Macaca mulatta: one gene and its partners. The protein of the gene in region 1 interacts with the protein of each later gene in a pairwise test. Links are inferred from orthologs where the notes say so. Each region holds a gene or a part of one and is shown on either strand. Other genes may lie near its edges.

Region 1 (7,861 bases):
TCATTTATTTGTCCTATTTTTGTACTTTCTGGAAAAATATCTTTACTTTTTGTCATTTTATTGATGTGTTTGTATCATATTTTTAATTTTCAAGAACTGTTTGTCTCTGAACATTTCTTTTGACAGCACCCTGTTGTTAAAAGAAAAACTTCAACCGAATTAAATTTAAAGGAGTTTAACTAAGCTACGAACGATTTGCAAATTGGGAAGTCCCCAGAATCACAGCACATTCACAGAGGCTCCAGGGGATGCCTCATGATCAGAACAAATAGACAAAAAATAAATAAATAAAGTGACATACAAAAATCGGAAGTGAGGTACAGAAACAACTAGATTGGTTACAGCCCACAGTTTGCCTTATTTGAACACAGTCTGAACACTCAGCAGTATATGAGTGGTTGAAGTGTGGCTGCTGGGATTGGCCAAGACTCAGCTCTTCTTATAGGTGCATATTCCTAAGTTAGGTTTTAATCTTGTCTACCTATTAAGTTAGGTTACAGTTCATCTACAAGGACTCAAATATAGTCGTACAAAGTCCTTCTCAGGCCATATTTAGTTTGCTATTACAGTGTTCTTGTATAGAATATCTTCTCTTATTTCTCAGGATTTTAAAAAATGTTTGAAGTGGTTTTCTTTCTTGCTAAATCATCTTGGTTTCCTCAGAGTTGCTTTTTTTCTGCTTCTTTGTTTAGGTATGTGTTCTGTTAGATTTTTCTCAAATATCTATTGATTTTTGATTGCCATTTATGTTTTAAAAAGCAAAGAAATAAAAACTACCTGTAAGCTCATCGTGCATGGGAGGGGCTTGCCAACAGATTGGGCTGGGCTGTTTCATTAAGAAACTCTCATTCGTTCATTAGCTTGGGCTGATCAGCTTCCCCAGAGAGAATTTCTCCAATTTCTGCTTGAGGAATATTAGCCTGGATTGTAGAGCAGAAGAAAGGTGCTATGGATCTCACCATTTAGTTTCTAGACTTCCATTGAATCCCACCTTTATTATAAAATTGTGTCCTCAGACATGTCTGTTATCCCAGAAGCCTCTGGTCTATCCTCCCCTGAGAGTAACCTCCATGCTTATTCTAGGGAGGAGAAGGGATATGGTGGTCACAGTGCTTCTTCACATTGATAGAGGCAGGAGGCAGAGAAATTCTAGGTAGACAACAGCAGGTCCCCAGGGAAACCCCACCTTCAAGCCAAAAAGCCTGAAACCTATGACCCAGCATGAGAAAATCTATTCCTGTTTGCCTGCTGTCTCCTGATGGGTTCTTTCTGAATAATGCTTTTTTACCAATTGAATGTTGCCTTTTCCAAAACTACCTATAGCCCACCCCGTCCCACAATCCTCTGCCTATAAATACCCCAGACTCAGTTGGTAGAGGAAAGAGAAGGGGCTCAGCTGGAGAGAGTTGACTTGACTTCAGAGAGATGGCTGGACTTCGGAGGAGAAAGGACTTGACTTCAGGGGAAGACTACCTGCCTACTCTGTCCTCTCTCCAGCTCCCCTCTCTGCTGAGAGCCATTTCCTTCACTTAATAAAATTTTCCGCCTTCACCATCCTTCAAGTGTCTGGACGACATTGTTCTTCTTGGACGCTGGACAACAGCTCAGGACCCACCAAGTACAGGGACCCAAAAAAGGCTGTCACACTGGCCCTTTGCCCTTGCTGGTGGAAGGCAGCTACCCCATGTGACGAGGCAAGAGGCCCACTGAGCTGATACCACTCTGCTGTCCATGGATGGCAGGGCTAAGAGAGCATTGTAACATGCATTCTGGAGCTTCAGGGGTCGCAGGCACCCCAACCTGGGTGCCACTGCACGGCCCGTGCAGAGCTTGCTCCTGCCAGTGCCCAAAGTGCTCAGCTGGATCCCATGCTCGCTCGCTCACATGCTCCCTCCCACAAGGGATTGAGTGCAGTGGGTGAAGTAAATGGGGCACCCCAGCACAAGTCCGACAAAGAGGTCAAGAAAAACTCTCCATCAACATTTTTCCACTCAGTCCTCTGTCAGCGCAACTTTTAGAGTTATCTGCTACTACAAATTCATGAGCCTTTTTCTGTATCTCTGTGATTTAGCTTGCCTTCTCCTCCTCAAGGTTTACGTTTGAACTTTGGGCCTACTAAGTCACCTTACCATTCTTTGGCCTGCTTTTTAGCTTCCAGAATTGTGTGCTATCATATCTACATTCAAGCTTTATTTCTTTGTCCTTATGGACTTCGGCCCTTTTTAGAAGTACTTCAATGTTATTAAAGGAGAGAAAAAGCGTTTTAAAGAGAGAAAATGTAAACTTGTGTGTGCAATTTACCAAGTTTGTCCAGGAGAACATTTTAATACAAGTATCCAATGATGGAATGTGTTGACTGGAGATTTTCTAGGTTCTAGCAGAGAGAGTGTCATAGCAGGTTTCAAGCACCAGAGAGCACTGCTAAATTGGACAGCAGATGAGACCAAATAACATTTGTAATAGAAACTGCTCCTTAGTAGTACCTGTTCTTTCCTTTCTTCTTAGAGTAATAAAACTCTGGATTTTTAGCTATGTAAATGATTATCCACAATTAAATCAGCATCTCTCAATTTTCCTTGAAGTGATATGTGACCATTGGGCTTACCAAGTGACATATGCAACTTTCTAGTCATGCTGTTTAAAGGGAGGTGTCCCCTCCCTCCTTCATACTTTCTCTGAGCTACAATGTGGAAGGAGCATGAGCTATCTCACACTGTGTAAATAAGACACCAAGGGGTGGCAGATCAACAGGAAACCTAATCTTTGACGACTATATGGAGCAAAATCATGATACCCACTTGGGGTTTTGTGTAAATGAAATTTCTATCCTTTTTAAGACAATTTGACATTGTGTCTTTGTCTATTAAAACATCTGAAACTACATTCTAAGCATCATGAACTTTAAGATTCCTTTCCACGCTGAAAATCTATGGAAATATTAAGAAAATAGAGAAATTCCATTTTCAGTAACAATGAAAAGTTCAAGTAGAATAGGGAATGAGGCACTCAGTGAACTTACATCTCAAAGCTAACAGGCAAAATTTGTTACATGTAATATCTGCACCTTTCTATCCATCTTGGTCTAATTAATTCGTGGATAAAAGTAATGTTCACCTATTATATATTCACCATCTTAAAATCCCACGTGCAAATTCTGATATCAGAAGAAACATGTGGATATTAATGGTAAAGTATCGTGATAATAAGAAATAAGATACGCTATCTCACCAGAGAAGAGGCCTCTGCTAAGAAAAAGAATGGTTATAAGGGCAATGACTTTTAAGGAGCTCGTACTTCCAAAGGCTGTGGCAGTTCATGGTTAATAGGCCTGTCATCCTAGTCGTGTTGTTTTGGCATTGTCTAGTGCAAATAGCTTGAGCTTGGTATTAAACTGACCTGGGTTTGAAACTCAGTTCTACTTGCTAGGGTCGTGAAACTGGAAAAATAATCTAAACTCTTTGCACTTCATCTATCTCAGTGACAAAATAGAAAAAAAAAAAAGTCTCATGTTTATTTCAGCTCGTCTTCTCATCTGATAAAGCTTTATACTGGTTTACCTTTATATTCTCTTTCTGTAAGGTTTGTGTTTTCACCTCTAATAGGAAATTTGCTCGATCACACAGCATTTAATTAGTTTGTCTGAACTGCTGCTTCTCAATTTAAAGCTACATGAGCTTCGAAAACCTTGATTTTTTTTTTTTCATTTCCCTGAGGAAAAACAAAAGGTTCTGAAAGCATATTTTTCCTACATTTATTATTTGTGCTACTTACTTGATTTGATTTCAGGCCAGTCAGCTTGTTCTATTCTGTGGTCTTCATACTGTATGTCCAAATAAGCAAATATGTAACGAATAATTTCTGCTCTCCCCCTCATATTAAAATAAGTGAGTTTGTAGTTTGGCATGGTGCAATTCTGGAAAAAGAAAAAGGGAGGGATTATTTTTAGAGCCCTCTAGAGATGTCTCAATACTTTTCTTCAGAATTTTTTGGAAAACTTTATAGCATCTCTTGAGATAACTGGAGACATTAGAGGATATTTCAAAACCAAAATTATAAATCACTATCTAATTACATATGGGGAAACTCGGTTGAAATCAGATCATGAATCTCTCTCTCTCTCGGCACTAGTTAGAACATTACAGTGAAATAACCAAATTCAAACTTTATTTATAAAAATATTCAGATTAAGTGGGTAGCTACACACCAACCTTCAGAGCATGGAGCAAAAAAAACTTCCCACTTTAAGATGATTCTGCCCTGCTTTTAGTCACTGGTAATGCGTAATATTTGATATTTTGCCTGTTTTGTTTGCTCTTGTGACACAGCTCAGAGTTTATGAGGACATCTGGGAAAGGACAGCCAAGGGCTGGGCACACGCAAGAGGAATGTGAGTGCCATGCCAACCTGTCTTTGCCTCTCTTTCCTCACCTGTGGCTTTCCCTCTAGGCATCCAAGGCCTAGGGAAACACTGCTCTCTGGTTCCCTCTGACTGCATCCATGCTACTGGGTTTTACTGGGTTACTTGCACCACAAAACACACCCCATCTCAAGACCTCTGCTGACAATCTTCCTTCATTCCCTCTGTAGAGGAAGAAAGCCAACTATTCTTACATTTCAAAATGTTTGCTAATACCAGCTAATTCAGTCATTATAATCTTATGGGTTTTCAGTGATTTGTATCTTCATTTTCATTGTTTATAAATGGTTAGTGACTTTAAGCACTTGTAGTGGAATATATTTTAATTTTGTAAGATCAAACAACTGAGAGAGAAATGTTTTCATTTGAAATTCAATTCTTTGAATTTGGCCTTTGGCCAGTTAAAATCTCCCTGAATTTCAAAGACCATTTTTGATAAACGGTGATATTAACATGGATTTGTAAATTAATGAGGTAATGCATATAAGGTACATAGCACAATGGCAAACTTAATCATTAGCATTAGTAATGACTTTGATCTCATTCTGTATTCAAGAATAAACACTATGAATACAGCACACTAAAGATAATAATTATGGTAACTAAATGAATGAAAGCATTTAAAGATGATTATTTATTTAAAGTGGTGCGTTTAAATAGTTTATTCCCTACTAAGAAAGTTTTTAAAGAACATTAATGGACTACTAATTAGATAAAAAGGAAAGTTGGGCTCAAGTCTCAAAACAAGGTTTCATCAAAAATCACATCACAGACCAGGCACAGCAGCTCATGTCTGTAATCCCAGCACTTTGGGAGGCTGAGGCAGGAGGATCACCCGAAGCCAGGAGTTCGAGACAAACCTGGCCAACATGGTGAAACCCCGTCTTTACTAAAAGTACAAAAATTGGCCAGGTGTGGTGTTGCGTGCCTGTAAGCCCAGCTACTCAGGAGGCTGGGGCAGGAGAATCGCTTGAACCCCAGAGACAGAGGTTGCAGTGAGCCAAGGTCACGCTACTGCCCTCCAGGCTGGGCAGCAGAGTGAGACTCCATCTCCAAAAATAAAAATAAATCACATCATATAAAAGGTTAAACGCAAATCATAAAAATCCAGGTTGCCAAGTCCTGACTTTAAGTTTATATATTCCTGGAGTCTAGTGGGAAGAGGATGACCTGGAAATAACTGTTTCATTGCATATCTAGAAGCTGCCAGGTTCAGGAAGCGACGGTGATGGTAATTCCTAGCAAAACCATTTTTTCTGGCCCTGGTTTTTGTGTCAGATGTTGTGGAGTGAAGCTAGTGCTCCTTGCTAAAATGAGAGAGGTACTACTGCCAATCATTCCTGCCCAGTTTGCATCAGCCAGTCTAGTCTACACCCAACTGAGGTGTATCACTCACCACATGTATAGATATGTGGGGAAGTCCTTGAAAGAGACAAGAATTGAGTAAACTAATAAGAATTCCATGATCTATAGCCACAAATTTCTTTGGGGGAAAAATATACATATAAAGGAGTTCGAATTTGGGATACTGAATGAAATGCCCATCAGAACAATGGAACTGTTTTCCAGGTTACTTAGAAATGTTGAGCTTAGAAATAAATAATGGAAAAGGTCTAAGAGCACCAAAATAGTTAATAAAAAATGTAATAATTAAGAGATTATTCTTATCCAGGAAAAGCATAATTGTTATAATTCCTGGACCTATTTGTTTTAAACATCAAAACAATTTTTAAAGGCCTACAGAGTGGAAAAAGTGTGGTTATTAGTTGCAGTTTCTATTTAGTGTTTTGTTTCATTTTGTTTGGTTTTGTTGCGGCACAGTCTCACTCAGTCCCCCAGCCTGGAGTGCAGTGGCTCAATCTTGGCTCAATCTTGGCTCACTGAAACCTCTGCCTCCTGGATTCAAGCAATTCTCCAGCCTCAGCCTCCTGAGTAGCTGGGATTACAGGCATACACCATCACGCCTGGCTAATTTTTCTATTTCTAGTACAGACGGGGTTTCACTTATGTTGGCCAGACTGGTCTCAGGTTCGTCTCCCAACCTCAGGTGATGCACCCCCCTTGGCCTCCCAAAGTGCTGGGATTACAGGCATGAGCCACTGTGCCCAGCCTGCAGCTTCTATTTGAAAAGCATTCTATATAAATTTTTTTATTGGTTTTGTTGGCATAGTCAATGTTTCCACAGCATGAAGAAATTATATTTTCTCCTACAACATTAAAAGTTATCAGCATTACACAGGGTGCCATGGCTCACGCCTGTAATCCCAGCACTTTGGGAGGCCAAGGTGGGCAGATCACAAGGTCAGGAGTTTGAGACTAGCTTGACCAAAATGGTAAAACCCCATCTCTACTAAAAATACAGAAATGAGCTGGGGTTGGTGGCAGGCACCTGTAATCCCAGCTACTCAGGAGGCTGAGGCAGGAGAATCACTGAAATCCGGGAGGCAGAGGTTGTAGTGAGCCGAGATCGTGCCATTGCACTCCAGCCTAGGGGACAGGGCAAGACTCCGTCTCAAAAAAAGAAAAAAAAGTTAACAGCATTAAACGTTAAACATACAACCTTTTCTCATTCAATCAACTACCACATAGATATCAGTGTCCACCTGATGAATTCTGCATGAAAACAAAGTGATTGTTTTTTATTGTTGTTAATTTTCAAAATCATGCTGTTTTATATTGTATATGACTCAAGTAAAGAAGACATTTAAAAATTCTCAGCATAGGTTGGCAGTTATCTATATTTCTCTGCAAAAATATCTTGAAGTCTAAGATTTGGCAGAGGCCCAATAGCAGCTAACAAATGCTTATCTTGCCTTTTAAAATATTCTTTCAACAGTTGTAACTCATTAATGAAGCTGTACTTTTTATATGACATTTCTGTAGTTATTTGCATGATTATATTTTCTGTTTGTCTCAGGAATACAAGATGTTATATCAGAACATCCATCTGTATAATAAACTACATTAAAAGAGAAAAACCAGGCCGGGTGCAGTGGCTCACGTCTGTAATCCCAGCACTTTGGGAGGCCGAGACAGGCAGATCACTTGAGGTCAGGAGGTTGAGACCAGCCTGGCCAACATGGTGAAACCCTGTCTCTACAAAAAATGTATACAAATTAGCTGGGTGTGGTGGCATGAGCCTGTAATTCCAGCTACGCAGGTGGCTCAGGCACAAGAATTGCTTGAACCTGGGAGGCAGAGGTTGCAGTGAGCCAAGATCGTGCCACTTTACTCCAGCCTGGGTGACAGAGTGAGACTCTCTCTCTCAAAAAAAAAGAAAGAGAATTATCATAAAACACACTATCATCTCAATAGATACTAAATGCTTTTAAAAAGCATTTGTAACATTATCACTCATTTGTGATCAAAACTCAGCAAAATGAAAAAAACAACAAAATAAAATACCTGTTAGCAAACTAGTAATAGAATACTTCCTTAACCGTA
Region 2 (7,861 bases), on another chromosome or scaffold:
CAAGTGATTCTTCTGCCTCAGCCTCCCGAGTAGCTGGGACCACAGGCGCCGCCACCACGCCCGGCTAATTTTTGCATTTTTAGTAGAGACGGGGTTTCACCATGTTGGCCAGGCTGGTCTCAAACTCCTGACCTCGTGATCAGCCAGCCTCGGCCTCCCAAAGTGCTGGGATTACAGGTGTGAGCCACCGTGCCCAGCCCCCTTTTGACCACTTTTAACCTGGCTAAGGACATAGTTGACAGGCAATTTTGCATCCTACTTGGCAAAGTATTTTTCCACAGTATTGGAAACTTTCCATAAATTCATTTGTTTCTCAATAGAAAAGAAAATTTGCAAGAGTAACTATTAACACCAACTAGGGATACTGAGAAGATGAATATTAAGGACTATAATTAAACCACAGATGGTCCCACAGAACAATATTTTTATGACTTTAAGACAAGGAGGGAAAAAACCTCTACAAGGAAATAGGAAGAGAAAAGATAATTTGTATGGTCACGAAAGTTTTCATTGCAAAGCTATTTTAAAACAAAACCAAAAAACCCACACCAGAGTAACAGTTTGGAAAACTCCATAAAGGTCATTTTTAATGGCCACATGGTACTTGACAGCACTCTTAATGACTCAGTGCAGTTCTCCCCCCTCCACTTCCCAACTTTTCTCTGTTTTTAGGCTGCTGCAAAGCCTTTGGTTAGAGCTCTGGGGCATCCTTTGCCTTCCCACAGACAAATGCATCATTCAGGTACTTCCATCAGCCACTTCCACTTCTCAAAGCCAAGAACAATGAAAGTCCTGTCACTTCCCTGCTCTAGACATTTATGCCACTTGTACCCTTTTGCTCTTACCAATCTTTTTATATCAAGTCACTTAAAAAAATTACTGCCTTAGATTGCCTTAGATTACCGTCAAAACTTTGAAAAAGCTGCCAGGTGCATGCCTGTAATCCCAGCTACTCAGGAGGCTGGGATGCGAGGATCAATTGAGGCTGGGGGTTTGAGACCAGCCTGAGCAACATGGTGAGACCCCATCTCAAAAACAAAAAAAACAAAAAAACCAAAAAACCCAAGTCTGAAAAAGCTGATTTTTAACCCAACATATCCCTGCTCTTTGCCCATTTTCCAAATTCTCCTTTGTCGAACTCGTCTTGGGGCCTGTGAACAGGAGCCCCTTTCCAGGCTTGCCCAGCACGAGAGTGCATCATCTTACACGCTTCCTCGTGTGCAGGCCACTTGTTTTCCTCCTTCTCGGATCTGGTCCATGTTTGCCTTCATGATGGACTTTCTGATTTAAAAGGCAACGATTGATAACAGTAAAGAATGATAATGACTTAAAAAAACCCCAATCATCAGATGTCCTGGGAGAGGCCAAACTGCAGACAGAACAGTGTGTTTGCTCCTTGCTGGCAGGTGCAGGGGGATAACCAGCAGGGCCTGAGGAACTCCTGGGCTGAAGCATCTGCCCCATCCAGATCTCGATTCTGGTGGTGGTTATACAACTGTATGGATTTGGCAAAACTCATAGAACTATACTTCAAAAAGAACAAATTTTGCTGCATGTAAATTTTATCTCAATTTAAAAAAAGAAACAATCTTCAGGCAAATCTAAATTGAGGGACATTCTATAAAATAACTGGCCTGATGCTTCAAAATGCCAATGTCATAAAAAACAAAGACTGAGAAACTGTTCCAAGATAAAGGAAACTAAAGAGATCTAACAACTAAACCCCAAACGTGGTAAAAGATTCAGTCCTGGTCTGAAAAAAATGGGTATGAAGGATAGAATTGGGATGGTGAGTGAATCTGCAATATTGATTATAGATTGGATAACAGGATTGGATCAAAGTTGCATTTCCTGATTTTGATTACTGTGGCTAGGTACACATCTCCTTGCCTTAGGAGATACATAGTAAAGTATTTAAGGGGTATGACATAGGCAAATATACTCTCAAATGGGTCAGAACACACACACACACAAATCAAATGTGGAAAAATGCTAAACAGTTAGAATTTGGGTGAAGAAGAGAAGGCAGCTCTTTGAGTTATTCTTGTAACTTTTCCAAAGCTCAGTTCTTTCAAGATTAAAAAACTTAAGTGACATGATGGCTTAATATATAACATCAATCTTTTTTTGTTTTTTATTTTTTTAGACAGAGTCTCGCTCTGTCACCAGGCTGGAGTGCAATGGCACAATCTCAACACACTGCAAGCTCCGCCTTCCGGGTTCAAGCAATTCCCCTGCCTCAGCCTCCCGAGTAGCTAGGATTACAAGCAACCACCACCATGCCCAGCTAGTTTTTTGTATTTTAGTAGAGACAGGATTTCGCCATGTTGGCCAGGATGGTCTTGATCTCCTGACCTCGTGATCTGCCCACCTCGGCCTCCCAAAGTGCTGGGATTACAGACATGAGCCAGCGTGCCCCACCTCAACACCAACCTATATTTTAAACCTACCTAGGGATGAGGGACAGATTCTCCAGGCAAGAGGAGAAAAATGCCAGGAAGGGCTGGTAGGTGAGATCCAGTGGAGAGGTTTGCAAATTCTTTAAAAAATCAGACCCCCATCTTCAGGTGGAACCAGAACCCAATGCCATATTCAGATCAGAGCAGAGCAGAGCTGCTCGCTGGCCCCCTTCTCCTGCCCTGTGAGCAGTGGGCACTCCCCCGGTGACACTTGCCTCTGCTCTTTTGCAGCTGGGAGTGCTGAGGCTCAGAGACTATGGGACTTATCCAAGATCACCCAGAGACTCAGAGCAGCACTGAACTAGGGTGTTTGATCCCAACTCTGCCATCTAGGTGCCCTGCCCCAGGCCGGCCTGGCCTGGCACGCTGCTTTTCTGGGCCCGTGCCCTGCCCCCACTCACCATCCGTGTTCTCCAGTACCGTGCTGTGCTTCACAAAGGCCACGTCCCCTGCCCCTTCCACCAGGCACCTGTGGAGAAGCTGTGGGTCTGGATGGGCTGAGCCCCTGGCCCCTGCCCATCTTCCACCTCTGGAGGCCTGGCTCGGGCTGTAGGGGTGGCCATGATCGGCATGGGCTTTCCAGTCATGTGGTCTGGGTTCCAGCTCCCTGGCTGGTTGTCTGTGTGGCTTTGCGGCTTTGCTGAGTTGTGGCCCCTTCCTAGTCCCTATCACCTGTAAAGCGGGGGCGGGAAAGCAGCTCCATCGGGCTGCTCTGAGGATGAGAGGCTCTTTATAACCCAGTACAGACCCTCTCCAGCCTGGCTCAGGCCTGTAGGGAGCAGGCACTCCCAGGGCAGCTGCTGTTATAATACCAGCAGCCTTGACTCTCAGGGTGTTGGTTTTGGTTATTTTGTTTTTAGAGATAAGGTCTCGCCGTGTCGCCCAGGCTGGGGTGCACTGGCACAATCATAGCTCATGGCAGCTTTGACCTCTTGGGCTCAAGTGATCATCCTGCCTCTGCCTCCAAAGTAGCTGGGAGGACAGGTGTGTGCCACCATGTTGGGCTAATTTTCAGGGTGTTTTGAAAAGCATTCTACCCTGAGGCAGGGGATTGGACTAGAAGGCCTTTTCATGCCATGCCGCAGGATCCTGAGTGTGAGGGACCATTGACTCGTACATGTTCTGTTGATGTCACTGCCTCGTGTTGGAGGCAGGTGAGACCTGCTGGGCAAAGAGGCTGCTTAGGTCCCCACAGGCAGAAAACACGCAGGGATTAGAGCAGGTCGGGGAGGACGACATCAGGAGAGGGCTCTGAGGCTCCAGGAGAGTCAGAGAGAATGCGTGCGTGGCCAAGGACGCGGGGCAGGGGAGGGGCAAGGCTCTGCCGCTCAGAGGGGCTGAGTACTGTTTCCTCTCTCTATGCCAAAAACTGCATCCACTCAGATCACATCTGGAGCGTGGGACACCAGCAGGCTTCCCCGCTCCAGGTGGAAACGTGAGGCAGCTAGAGGAGCCCCAGAAGCTTCCTTCCAGTCCTGCTCAGCACGTTTCCTCCTCTGCAGGCAGACGGAATTGGACCACGAACTGTTAGAGACTCTCTTGTATCCACGGAAGGATTACCCAAGGTGCCAGCCCCAACCAGCAGCAGAGACAGGCCGGCCCCAAGTGTCAAGCCACAGTCCCCCAACCCCCTGTCCCTGCTGGTCTGAGAACAGGGACATGGGAGTGGTCAAAAGGCTGTTTTTTCCATTTTCTTCTCTCCGAGCCCTCACCTCACTAAATATACCAAACATGTTGATTTTATGAGCAAATCCAGTTTGGCATATTCCGGTTGGATGTTTTTAAACTAACCAGGGCACAGAACTATATAAAGCGCGCTTTGATGAGAGGCAGCCAACACCGCCACTTCCCCTCCACGGCCTCTCTGGGCAAAGGTGCTTTTCCCCAGCATCCGTGGCCGTAGCGCCTCCGCCCGCCCGCACGACTCAGCTCCTCCCCGCCCGGCCCTCCCCACCCCCGCTCCGCTCACCGGAAGGCCCCGCTGTAGTCGTAGTATCTCTCCAGGGGGCTCTTGTCACACACCCCTTCCCCAGAGCTGTCACCCCTGCAGAGGCGACAGAGGGACTCAGAGTAACGGGTCTCTCCTGCCCCCGGGACGCAGCTGCCCCCAAAATAGTCGCTGACAGCTGTGGGAAGGAGGCAGAGAGGTCACTCAGAACTTTCTTCAGAGCCAAGTTAAAACCCCAGGGTCAGCGGGGGGCCGGGCCCTGCAGGGTCTCATCTGGACTCTGCTGAGAACGGTTCCACCTTCCAGCTTCAGTCTGAGCAAAACTGGGGAGCCGGACCCCGGACCCGATCCGTGACCCCAAACCGGGTCCCCCAAGGGAGCAGTGAGCACTGGGGAGCGACTGTCATTTAAAAGTGGTTTCGGGGGAACTACAAGTTTCCTCCTAAATGACCACACGGGATAACTAAGCATCAACTAGATGCTCTTCTCATCGTGGCTTTCATTTCCAACTCAGCGAGGTGTGACTGACGACAGAGGGGAAATAAAGACAGACACTTCTCACAGCACAGGGAGGGAGGCAAACGCCCGGCGGCTGGCCTCGTGGGGGACGAGGTCAGGGTCTGCTGCCCTGCATGGTTCTTCAGGCCCGGCCGGCACCAAAACTCACAAATATTTATCCTGTGCCACACGAGAAGGCCCTGCTGCCGGCACCCAAGCCCATCGGGCCACACTCATCACCAGCCAGACTGAGCTTTTCCAGAGTAAGCCCTCTTCCTAGTCTTCTTTTTGTGACCTCCCAGAGGATAGGTGTGTAATAAATATGCCAAGTTCCTGGCGAGCCACCCACGCCTGGCCACCAGCTGGGAGGGTGCGGCTTCCAGGCTCTCGTGGGTTTACACGGCTGGTTGGGCTGATGAGCCACTTGGGGGCTTTCTGGGTGCAAGTCAACACCTTGTTTGGGTCCTGAAAAAACAGCATTTCTGGTCCTGTAAAGCTGAGGACACATTTCTAGACAGCGTGGGAAGCACTCCTGGGGGATTCACTGCCTCCCACTCATGGGCTGGGCCTGGGCCTGACCGTCATGTGGGGCACCGTGAGGGGTGAGCAAGAATGGTGCCCACAGGGGCCAAGCAAGCAGGAAGTCACGTGGCGGCGCGCAGGGCCGGCGGCAGAGTGGACGGTGCGGGGAGGCGGAGGAGGTTGCTACGCCTTCCAGGGATGAAGAATGGCGGTGAGGCTGGAGGGAGGCTGCCCAGTGAAGGGACAAGCATGGAAAGGAAAGCATCCCAAGGAAAGGAGCGGGAGGCCTGGGGACCCTCCTGCCCAGCCCAAAGCCCTTACCTTTGAGTACATCGCAGCCCATCACCGAGAGGCGGCCGCTCTCCACCAGGTAGCCCACGGGCACGTTCCAGCCCACTGTGCGATTGATGCCCGTGTGGCAGGACTTCACGCCTTTCAGGGTGTTGATGGTCACTTGGGAGCTCCTCTTGACCACAGCCACGGCGTAATAGGAGGTGCCAACCTCTAGGAGGGGAGGGGAGCGGGTGAGGGCAGCAGGGAGAGGCCTCAAGGGAGGCTGCACCAGCACCCTGCCGAGGCCGGCTGTGGGAGAGGTGTGTGCACGGAGCATGGCTGTACATCATGGATGTGTGCATAGCATTCTCGTTACCAAGACAGCAAGTGGGCTTAATCCACATGTACTACGAGACCCTGCCCTCTAGCCTCTTGAGGTAGATACGATCCTGAGATACTGATGTATTCACTGAGATCCCCCTCTTCCTAAGCAGCTGGTGCTTAGCTGGTTCACATTTGCTCACATCAGGGGAGTTATTTAGCTGGACAGAAAGCAGAAGAAGCCAGCAAGTCCTTGCTTTCCAAAAGCCTAGGCCCCTAGGAGAACTTGGAGGGTTTGAGGGAACGGTATCAGGGCCATGGGAAGAAGGGTGGCTAGGACGAGCAGGGGAGCAGGCGAGAGGCTTCCCCAGATGAGGAGAGGCGATTTCCTGGTGCTGAGGGGGTTGGAGGAGAGTGAGACGAGGCAGAGACAGAGAGACAGAGACACCTAGCAACGTGGTCCCAAGTCACTCACCACCCTCAAGGCTGCAGGGTGCGTGTGGTGGGCCAGGGCTCTGCAGCCTTGTGAAATGTTCCCCTGCGCCAAGGTGGCTCCAAGGGGCAGTTCAGGCAAAACACAGACGACGCCGCTATGGGAACTGATGACCAGAGGGTCTCCCACTGCACGAGCGCACACACACAGGCATACACGCACGCACAAACTGCCGGGTGGTGTGGGAGGCCATATCAGAACGAAGTTGGGTTCTAGAACATAAAGTCAGTGTTCCTTCTTGCGCACCAGGGTCTGCCCCCACCAACCTAAGTAGCTTCATCTGGTGCCATCCTCTGACTCACCCACCTTGTTTCTTTCCCATTCCCTGGACCGCCTGAGATCGTTGCGGGGCTCAGCTTGCCCGTCGCCTCCGCAGAGCACCGTCCTGCCTGCTCTATTTCAGTGGGTTTCTCCGCAACCCTCGTTTGCTCTGTCCTGCCCTTTCCTTTTCCTCACGGCACCCCCACATGTGTCACTGAAGAGTTGTGTGTGTTTGTTCCTTTTCCTCACAGCACCCCCACACGTGTCACTGTAGAGTTGTGTGTGTTTACTCTGCTCTGTGAGAGCAGCAAGGTCTCTTTGTTTACGGCTCCATGCTCAGACCAGCGGGTGGCAGGTGCTTAGCAGAGGTATGGAGTTAATTAAAGAGGAAGAGGTGCGGGGCCTGGGAGCAGAGCTAGTTCTGGCTGATGGGTGTGCAGGGTTGGACTGTGCTGTGTGTCATTGGATGGTCATTAATTCAACAAGGAACCGGCCAGTGCTTTCTCCAAGCGAGACGCTGTGTGGAGTTCCAGAGGATAGACGCAGGGGAAGACTGGACCCTCCTCTGGGGACTAACGAGACTGAGCAGGCAGAGGCTTGCAGAGGCCGTGGGGGTGCAGGCAAGAGGCCCCGCTCCAGGGAGGGATGGGCTCAGGGAGCACCTTGGAGGAGGTGACAGTTGCGCTGGACTGTGATGGAGGCCAGGCGCCGGCCAAGCAGAGGTGATGGGGGAGACGCAGGAGCAGGCTGAGCTGGAGGCAGGTCCCGTGTGTGATGCGGGCACTGGGCAAAGGAACTCACGCTTTCCAGCACGTACCACATCAGGTGGACACACGGCCTGGCTCATTTAGTCTGGGTGACAGTGCAGGTGTTACTATCCCCATTTTACAGTCCGGGAAGTGGCGGTTGACCAAGGTCACAGAAGTCATGGGAAGGGGAAGCGCTGGGTCTGTTGAGCTGTGCGGCTGCCAGGCAGCACCTCCCTACCCAGAGCCAAGCTTCTGACAGGGAGGCCCTGAGTGTGCAGGTGGCTCGGCATGAAGGACACCTTGCTCACCCCAGGCAGTTACACACACAGCACCACGC
Region 3 (7,339 bases), on another chromosome or scaffold:
GCCCAGCTCCGGATGCGACCCTCCAGTCTCCCCGCTCAGCCAAGTCAGTGGGTCAGGCCCACGCTCCACACCAGTCCCGAGGGCCTCCCCCAGCCCCCAATCACCGCAGCGGTGGGCGGAGCCAGCGGCCCCGCCCCATTCCCTGGCGCTGCCATTCACTGGCGTTTCCTCGCCAGGATCTGCAGGGATCCCGACTACGGAGTGACCCTGGGGCTGGGGTAGGGGAGGCCCTGGCGCCTCTCCTCCTCCTGGTCACCCCTAGGCGCACACTGGGAAGTGTGTGCCCCCCATATCCTGAATGTTTCACGCTTTCCTGCCCGGGTTAGAAAGCCGTTCCTAGTGCACTGGCCCGGACAGGGGATACTCTTCCTCCCTGCAGCCCTTGCCCACCCCCTTGGCCATGAGGAATTCAGGCAGCTGTGTCCCCAGATGTCTCCACCCAATTTTGGACTCTCAGAGTCCCCACACCCAGTGAGGTGCCAGTGCAACCCAGGTGAGCATCAAGGGTGGTGGCTGCGGGGGTGGCACCTCCACCCACCAGCACCTTCCCTTGGGAGTGGACAAGTCCTTGGCCACCTCAGCACCACCAGCTCCCACCCAGGGCCACCCCCACCCCCAGGTCACTGGTGTGCGGCCCCTGGCCCAGCTGATCCAGCACCAGTTCCAAGGCCTCCTCGTCCCCAGTCCCAACCATGCGGGACCCGCCTGCCACCCTGCCCATGCCGGGACCCCACAACTCTCCCCCCAACACGCTCCAGGCTCTGATTCCAGGCAGCTGCCCTCCTGCGAGGCAGGAGCATGGGCAGGTGTGCGTCCCGTCTGCCTGGCATTCGGACTCCACCAGCAAGCCTGTCCCTGTCCCTGGCCTGGAACCCCAGTCTCCTGGCAGTACTCCAGCTCAGCACTCACCCATGCCCCAAAGGGTGCTGCCTGACTTGTGCCTGCGGCCCCAGCTCTGCCCCAGCCTCCCTGGCCTGCTCCCTAGCAGCCATGGCCAGTAGTGTGCTGAGTCAGCCCAGCCGTCACCTGCTCCAGGCAGGAGACCCCAGCTGCCACCTGGATGTCACCACTCAAACAACAGAACACATCCCCAGTGGAGGCCCTGGGCATACTCTGGCCTCCCCCTCACAGCTCTGGGCCTAAGTTCCTGCAGGCAGCACAGGACAGACGGCCGAGCAGACAGAGCTCAGAGCTGGCCATGGCAGGTGTGACTCTGCCAGTGCCCCGGGCAGTAGACAGGAGAGGCCGAGGAAGCCGCATGAAGCGGTGGTCGGTGTCAGTGCCCCACACTGCCGGGAGGCCCCCAGAGCCAGGGTGGTGCCAGGGTACCCAGCTCCCAGGCCCACAGCAGGGACTGCCTGGGATATCGCCAAGGCAATGAGGACCCCACCTCCCCAGGGCCTCTGACTTCTCAGAGCTGCGCCTGGTCCCTGCGGGAGTGGGTCAGACCAGTGGGCTGGGCAGGGCCAGGACGAGACAGCCCCAGTGGGTGGTGAGCAGGAAAGGCCTCCAGAGGCCCACCCGGGTCTCCTCGTCGAAAGCAGCACCAGCCTGGGCAGTGTTCAAACACCGGTGAAGAGCCCAGGCAAGCGCAGGGCTGGGGACCTGGATAGCCAGGAGGGCTGGATCTGGAATCGAGGCTGGCCCAGACCTTGACCCTGCCCTGGGACCGCCGAGCTCCACAGCCACAGGGCCTCATGGGCCAGGCCTCGGGACCTGGATGCAGCAGCCTCGCCGCACCTGGCCCCAAGTGCTGCCTCAGCCGATGGGCTCCCAGCCACATGTGCAGACCCCCAAACACCACGAACCCCTCCCGCCAGGTGGCATCCACGCCCCTGTGACAAGCTCAGCCCCTTCCCATCTTCAGGCCAGGGGCTCCCAGGAAGCCTGGCTCCACAGGCCAGGGTGTGGGAGGACCGCCTGGCCACACCTCGGCCACATGGAGGCGGCACCCACACACCCGAGCTCGCCTGTCTGGCTCTCTGGCCCTGTGCGTCCACTGTGGCTCCCCTGCTGCAGGGCCACCCACCTTCCTCCCAGGGAAGCCCGCCCCCCCGGCCCAGTCCCCTCTCGCGTGTGCCCAGGCTGAGCTGCCTCCAGGGCTGCCCTCACCTGGTGCGCAGGGCCTGCCAAGCGGCGTCAATGTCAGCATAGAGGTTCCTCTCGGACGGCCTGCCCGAGCTGGCACCGTAGCCAGAGTAGTCATAGGAGAAGATGTTGCAATGGAGGCGGGAGCCCAGGCCAATGTAGAAGCTGCTCATCTGGCCCAGGTCCACGGCGTTGCCGTGTGAGAAGAGGACCGTGTACCTGGGGCAGGCCGGGAAGGGCCATTCACATCCTCATTCCCAGCGCCCAGCTGCAGGGCAGGAGGACGCGTACTGACAGCCCACCCCGGTGGCCAGCCATGCCCAGCGCCTTGTTTACTCCCCTCCCAAGGGGGCCCGAAGCCAGCGAATGGACAGGGGAGGCTACGACAGCACAGCTCCATCTCCAGGGGTTCCCCATGGGGAGAGAACAGGAGAGCCGGCAGGGGTACAGGCAGCCTGGGCTGCAGAGAGGCCAGCCAGGGAGCCTCAGGACTCCCATCTGTGAAGCGGGACACTGGGACCATTGGTCACATCCTCTCTCTGGGCAGACGCGCAGTGTGTGCCCGGATGCTGCAGGTCTCGCTGCCCTGCAGCCCTTCCTCCTGGAAGAGCCGGGACCCCCGGGGATGGAGCACACAGGCCCACCTTTCAGGACCTTCCCAGGGAAGACCGTGCTGCTGCTGGCAGGGCTATCTGCCCTCCCCTCACAGAATGGTGCCCTCACTGTTGGGAACAACTGGACCCCACCCCTGCCCCCAACAAGCAAATGCGCCCAATCCCTGCTCACATTCACGCAGCCCCTCCTGCCCCGCCACCCTGCCCAAGCCCCGAGCCCGTGCTGCAAGGCCTGTCTGCTTCCCAGCACGGGAGCTGCCCCAGGTGGTGCCAGGAGCAGGCGGCCAGGCTGGCCCTACCATGGACTGCTTCCTCCAGTTCCCCCAGGACCCTGCCCAGCCCAGCCAGAAGGTAAAGGCTCGCCCTCTGGACTCAGATCTGGTCAGAACCCCACCTGGCAAGAAGGCGGATGTAGGTCAGGGCGGCCCCTGTGCCCCACCCCAGCAGGCAACCACCAGGGGCTGGGTCGCTGGAGTCGCCCGGCCTGCCCAACTATGCCAGCTGGGGATGGCCTCCCTGAGCCTGGTATCCTTGTCTGCGAGAGGAAATCGCTGGAGGGATGAGGCCAGCCCGGCCGGGGACACCACCCATGCCAGCTGGATGGCCCTTCACAGCAGGCTCAGGCCCTCTGGGGCACCACCAACCACACCAAGCACCCGGGGCAGAAACGGGAGCCCCAAGAACAGGGTGACCCAGCCCGGGCGCGGCCACAGCTGCTCACCTGGCACCAGGCACGCAGCGAACATACATGCAGGAGACACGGTTGCCGCGGGCGCTCTTCGTGGGGAAGACCTCGATGGTGTCCAGCTCGCGCTGGCTGTACTGGAAGTCGGCACGCTCCGTCAGGTGCAGCTTCCAGCGCCCGGGTGCACCCGAGGAGGCCCGCAGGGTCCCCAAGGGGGCGGCCCCGGCCCCACCAGGCCCTGACTCGGGTTCAGGCACCAGGGAGTAGGTGGCCTCTGGCGGCAGGAAGGCGAGCTTGGCAGCGATGCGGCCGGGGCAGGGCGGGCAGCAGAAGAGGCAGCAGAGCTCACTCAGCGACAGCCCGTTCATGGCGGGCGCCGCCCGGGCCGGGCCTCCACCGGGGCCCCCGCCAACAACGCCACCCGGCCTGGCCCAGCAGGGGAGGGGTGGGGGTGCTCCGAGTTGCGGGCAGGGGGGAGGGCGCCCCCCCAGCTACCGCCCCAGACAGGAGCCCCGTTAGGAGGCCAGGGCCCAGCCCCATCGCGGTCCAAGCCGAGCCCCAGGGAGCCTTGCGACCACAGGTCTCCATGTCGTGCCGTGGGAAGCCCTGCGGGGGAACAGTGGCATGTGGGGTCCTTTGGGGGTGCCATGGTCCAGCTGGGCACCCCCGGTAGGTGGGGCATCCACCCGTGCCAGGGGGCGGCATGGGCCCAGGGCCTGTCCATCCCATCCCCTCAGCCCTCCCCGCGGCCTGTCAGGCACTGCACCCTACAGCTCAGGGAACCCCAATTCAGCCCCCTCTCCACGGGATGAAGGACCCCCCACCCTCCCTCAGCTGGCGATCACCACCTCTTGCCATGTGAGCACAGCCTGGGCATGCAGGGCACGCAGGGGATATGACCCCAGCCCCGCCCACCCCCCAAACGTGGGCTCCAGCACCAGGGAAACCCCATGCACCAGGACTCGGTCCGCACTGCTGCCCACTCCCTCCCCAGCCCATCTCTGCCACCCTACGGGTGATGGGCCGCTGAGGCAAGGACAGAGCTCGGACTCAAGGGACTGAGGAGGGACCTGAACAGGCCCCGCTACGTGAGCGCGCACAGGGGCCAGGCCCCACCGGCCTGCGATGTCTGGAGACAGAGGAAATATAACAAAGGCTCTAGAAACAAAGGCAGGATACATCCCAGGCTCCCAGGGCCCTGAGAGCTGCGACAATGGCTCTTCTCTGTGCTGGGGCCAGGCCTGCTGAGGGGCAGGGGAGGCGGGCTGGGGTCAGGGGGTCCTTCTCCAGAGCTGATTTAGGGTTCCGTGACCTTTGGCAAGTCACTTGCCCTCCTGAGGCCTCAGTGTCCTCATCTATAGGCGCAGACACCACATACCCCACAGGAAGTCAAGTGAGGGGGGAGGGGAGCGAAGGCGCCTGATTCAGAGTGGAAACTCGGACCTTCTTCCTTGCTGCAGAACGTCATGAAACGCATTAAGTCGACAACAGCTAAGTTGCTAAAGCAAGCACAATAGTGTAAGGAGCTGCCAACAGACAGACGTGAAGAAAACACAAAGGTCTGAGGCGTCTATCTACCGACCACGCTTCTCCTTCAGACGGGAGCGAGGAGGGAGACACGCTCACAACTCAATTTCAGCAGCAGAACACCCTGGAATGCTGGGCTTTTGGGTCACAGCACGAGAAAACCGTGGGGCCAGGAAGATGAGGCTCAAAGGCAGATGTGGACACAGATGGACACGCAGGCGGCTGCAGGCGCCACAGACACGGCTCGTGGGGACACCCTCACCACCAAGGAGCAGCCTCAGGCCCAGAAACACACCTGCTCCCTCAAGACCTGTGTGAGACCCACACGTGCCCGTGAGCCGGCCTCACGGGCACACAAGGAGGAGAGGAGAGAGCTCTGAAAGCCAGGGTGGGGCAAGGATGGCATCACAGCGTCCCCCAGACTCCCAGGCGGGAGGCAAATCTCACAGGCAAGCACTTCTCAGGGGGGAGGCGGACTGTCATACTGGTTCTGCTTCTCAGATGGAGGCAAATCTTCCCCCCGGGGACACCTGTCAATGTCTGGAGACAGTTTTGGGTGTCGCCACTGGGGACTGGGTGGAGGCTGCTTAGCACGCTGCAGTGCCCAGGACAGACCCACCCCAAAGAATGATCAGGCCCAACATCCACAGCATTGAGGTTGATGTCAGCTTTTCAACATATTCTCAAAGAGGTCCGGGCCCTATCGGTGCTGCCCTGCTGGTGCCGGGGGCTTGGAGGGCCCTGCAGTTTAGGTGGCATCATGCAGCTGGGTCCTGAGAGCCCAGTGGGCAGTAGCAGGCCCCTGGAGACCCCAGAGACCAAGGGGCACACCGAGGTGGCCAGGGCCCCATTAACCACGCCAGAAACAAAGATGCTATCCTTGACACCTCCTTCCACCCACTGGATCTGAGCCAGTCCATCACCAGCCCAGTGGCTCTGCCTGTCTCCCATCAGCCACCGCCCGGTCCCCGCCTCCATCACCTTTCACCAGAGCTACAGCAACAGCCTCGCTCCTTGCTGATCACCTGCTCCAGGACATTCTCCCCCAACAGCCAAACAATTGTTCAAGACACAAATGCAATGGTGGCACTTCCCTCTTGGGGTGTCCTGGGGGCCTCCCATTATTCTCTGGATAGAGATCAAAGTCCTCCCCACAGACTGCCAGGTCTGCATTCCGGCTCAGGCCAACCTCTCCAGACTCACTCATCTCACACCCTGCCACCCCTGGCTCTCCTAAGACAAGCCACATTGCTCCTTCCTGCCTCTGCTCCCCTGCCGGGAACTCCCTTCCCCAACCTCACTAAATAGCCTTGCCCATCCCAACCACCCTTTGCACCTTGCTGCCAACAACGCTCTCAGAGTCCTCAAAGCTGGGACAGGACCCCTTATACGCTCTTTCCACAGCTTGTATTTTTCACACATTCGGCCAGATCTCCCCCCACCCCCAAACCAGAAACTCCATGAGAGCAGGACCATGACCTGCCACTCACTAAAGGAATGGGCAGGTGGTAAGCAGCAAAGAATTAGGGAGGAAACACAGGAGGAAAAGAATCCCCAAGGTCCGACAGCTTTGACAGGGAAAGTCTAGTCTCCTCTCCTCTCCAGCCACAGGTACCTGGAACCTCCCTAGTGTCATTAATGGGCATGGACTGCGGAGTGCAAACCCGGACGCTTCACTGACTGAGCACACACCCTTGACACCCTGAATCCCATCAATTCCGTTCCCAAGCACATAACTGGGCACCCCTCTGCGAGCTAGAGGTGTTTTGAGGACCAGTAAGCAACCAAGCAGCCAAAATACTGGAAGATGACCTACATATGGGAGACGATGACGGCACCTCACTCAACCAGTCAGGGTGGGAATCCCGCCTGGGGGGAGGTGCGGCCATATCACAGGGCAGATAAACGGGCCAGGTGACAGGGGATGGGACAGAGGGACAAGCAGGGGCAAAACCTCAGAGGTGACAGAGCAGACTCCTGGCTAGAGCAGACCCTGGGAGGAAGAAGTGAGCAGATGGGTCCCAAGAGAGTCTGGGACGGGTGAGGTCGCGCCCCCGAGAGCCCTGCTGCGGAGTTTGCACTTCATCTTGGGAGAAATGGCGGGGCCACGGAGAAGTCCCGAGCAGTGGATGGACAACACAGGAGAAGGGCTGCATCCCGGAGAACGGACGCGAGCGGAGGCCGGGAAGCCTGCCCAGGAGTCAAGGCGGCAGGAAGACGCCTGACAAGAGAAACAGCAACTGGGAGCTGCTTGGGAAGCGGGGCTCGGCAGGGCCCCTGGGAGCTGCCAGGGGGGCCCAGAGGACGAAGCGGTTGTAGGGCTGGGGGCAGTTTCGGGGTAAAAGAGCGGAGTCCACGGCTCGGAAAGGCGATCCCCGAAGGCAGGGGCCGCGTCCGCAGGAGGGTGGGAGCGCAACCCACGTCG

What was found.
Region 2: the proteins of HPGDS (region 1) and MELTF interact in binary tests that used the Homo sapiens proteins (3 or more experiments, as listed by UniProt). The two-hybrid records come from large-scale screens. The link is inferred for Macaca mulatta from reciprocal best matches to the Homo sapiens genes HPGDS and MELTF.
Region 3: the proteins of HPGDS (region 1) and ABHD17A interact in binary tests that used the Homo sapiens proteins (3 or more experiments, as listed by UniProt). The two-hybrid records come from large-scale screens. The link is inferred for Macaca mulatta from reciprocal best matches to the Homo sapiens genes HPGDS and ABHD17A.

The regions. Positions count from the first base shown.
Region 1 is NC_133410.1:103,670,193-103,678,053, forward strand, and holds part of HPGDS (hematopoietic prostaglandin D synthase), read right to left. Parts: intron 3,914-7,861; 5' UTR 3,905-3,913; coding exon 3,772-3,904; intron 1-3,771. UniProt on the Homo sapiens protein: Bifunctional enzyme which catalyzes both the conversion of PGH2 to PGD2, a prostaglandin involved in smooth muscle contraction/relaxation and a potent inhibitor of platelet aggregation, and the conjugation of glutathione with a wide range of aryl halides and organic isothiocyanates.
Region 2 is NC_133407.1:2,574,675-2,582,535, forward strand, and holds part of MELTF (melanotransferrin), read right to left. Parts: intron 5,932-7,861; coding exon 5,749-5,931; intron 4,586-5,748; coding exon 4,429-4,585; intron 2,929-4,428; coding exon 2,861-2,928; intron 1-2,860. UniProt on the Homo sapiens protein: Involved in iron cellular uptake. Seems to be internalized and then recycled back to the cell membrane. Binds a single atom of iron per subunit. Could also bind zinc.
Region 3 is NC_133424.1:2,594,125-2,601,463, forward strand, and holds part of ABHD17A (alpha/beta hydrolase domain-containing protein 17A), read right to left. Parts: intron 3,994-7,339; 5' UTR 3,756-3,993; coding exon 3,424-3,755; intron 2,308-3,423; coding exon 2,113-2,307; intron 1-2,112. UniProt on the Homo sapiens protein: Hydrolyzes fatty acids from S-acylated cysteine residues in proteins. Has depalmitoylating activity towards NRAS. Has depalmitoylating activity towards DLG4/PSD95. May have depalmitoylating activity towards MAP6.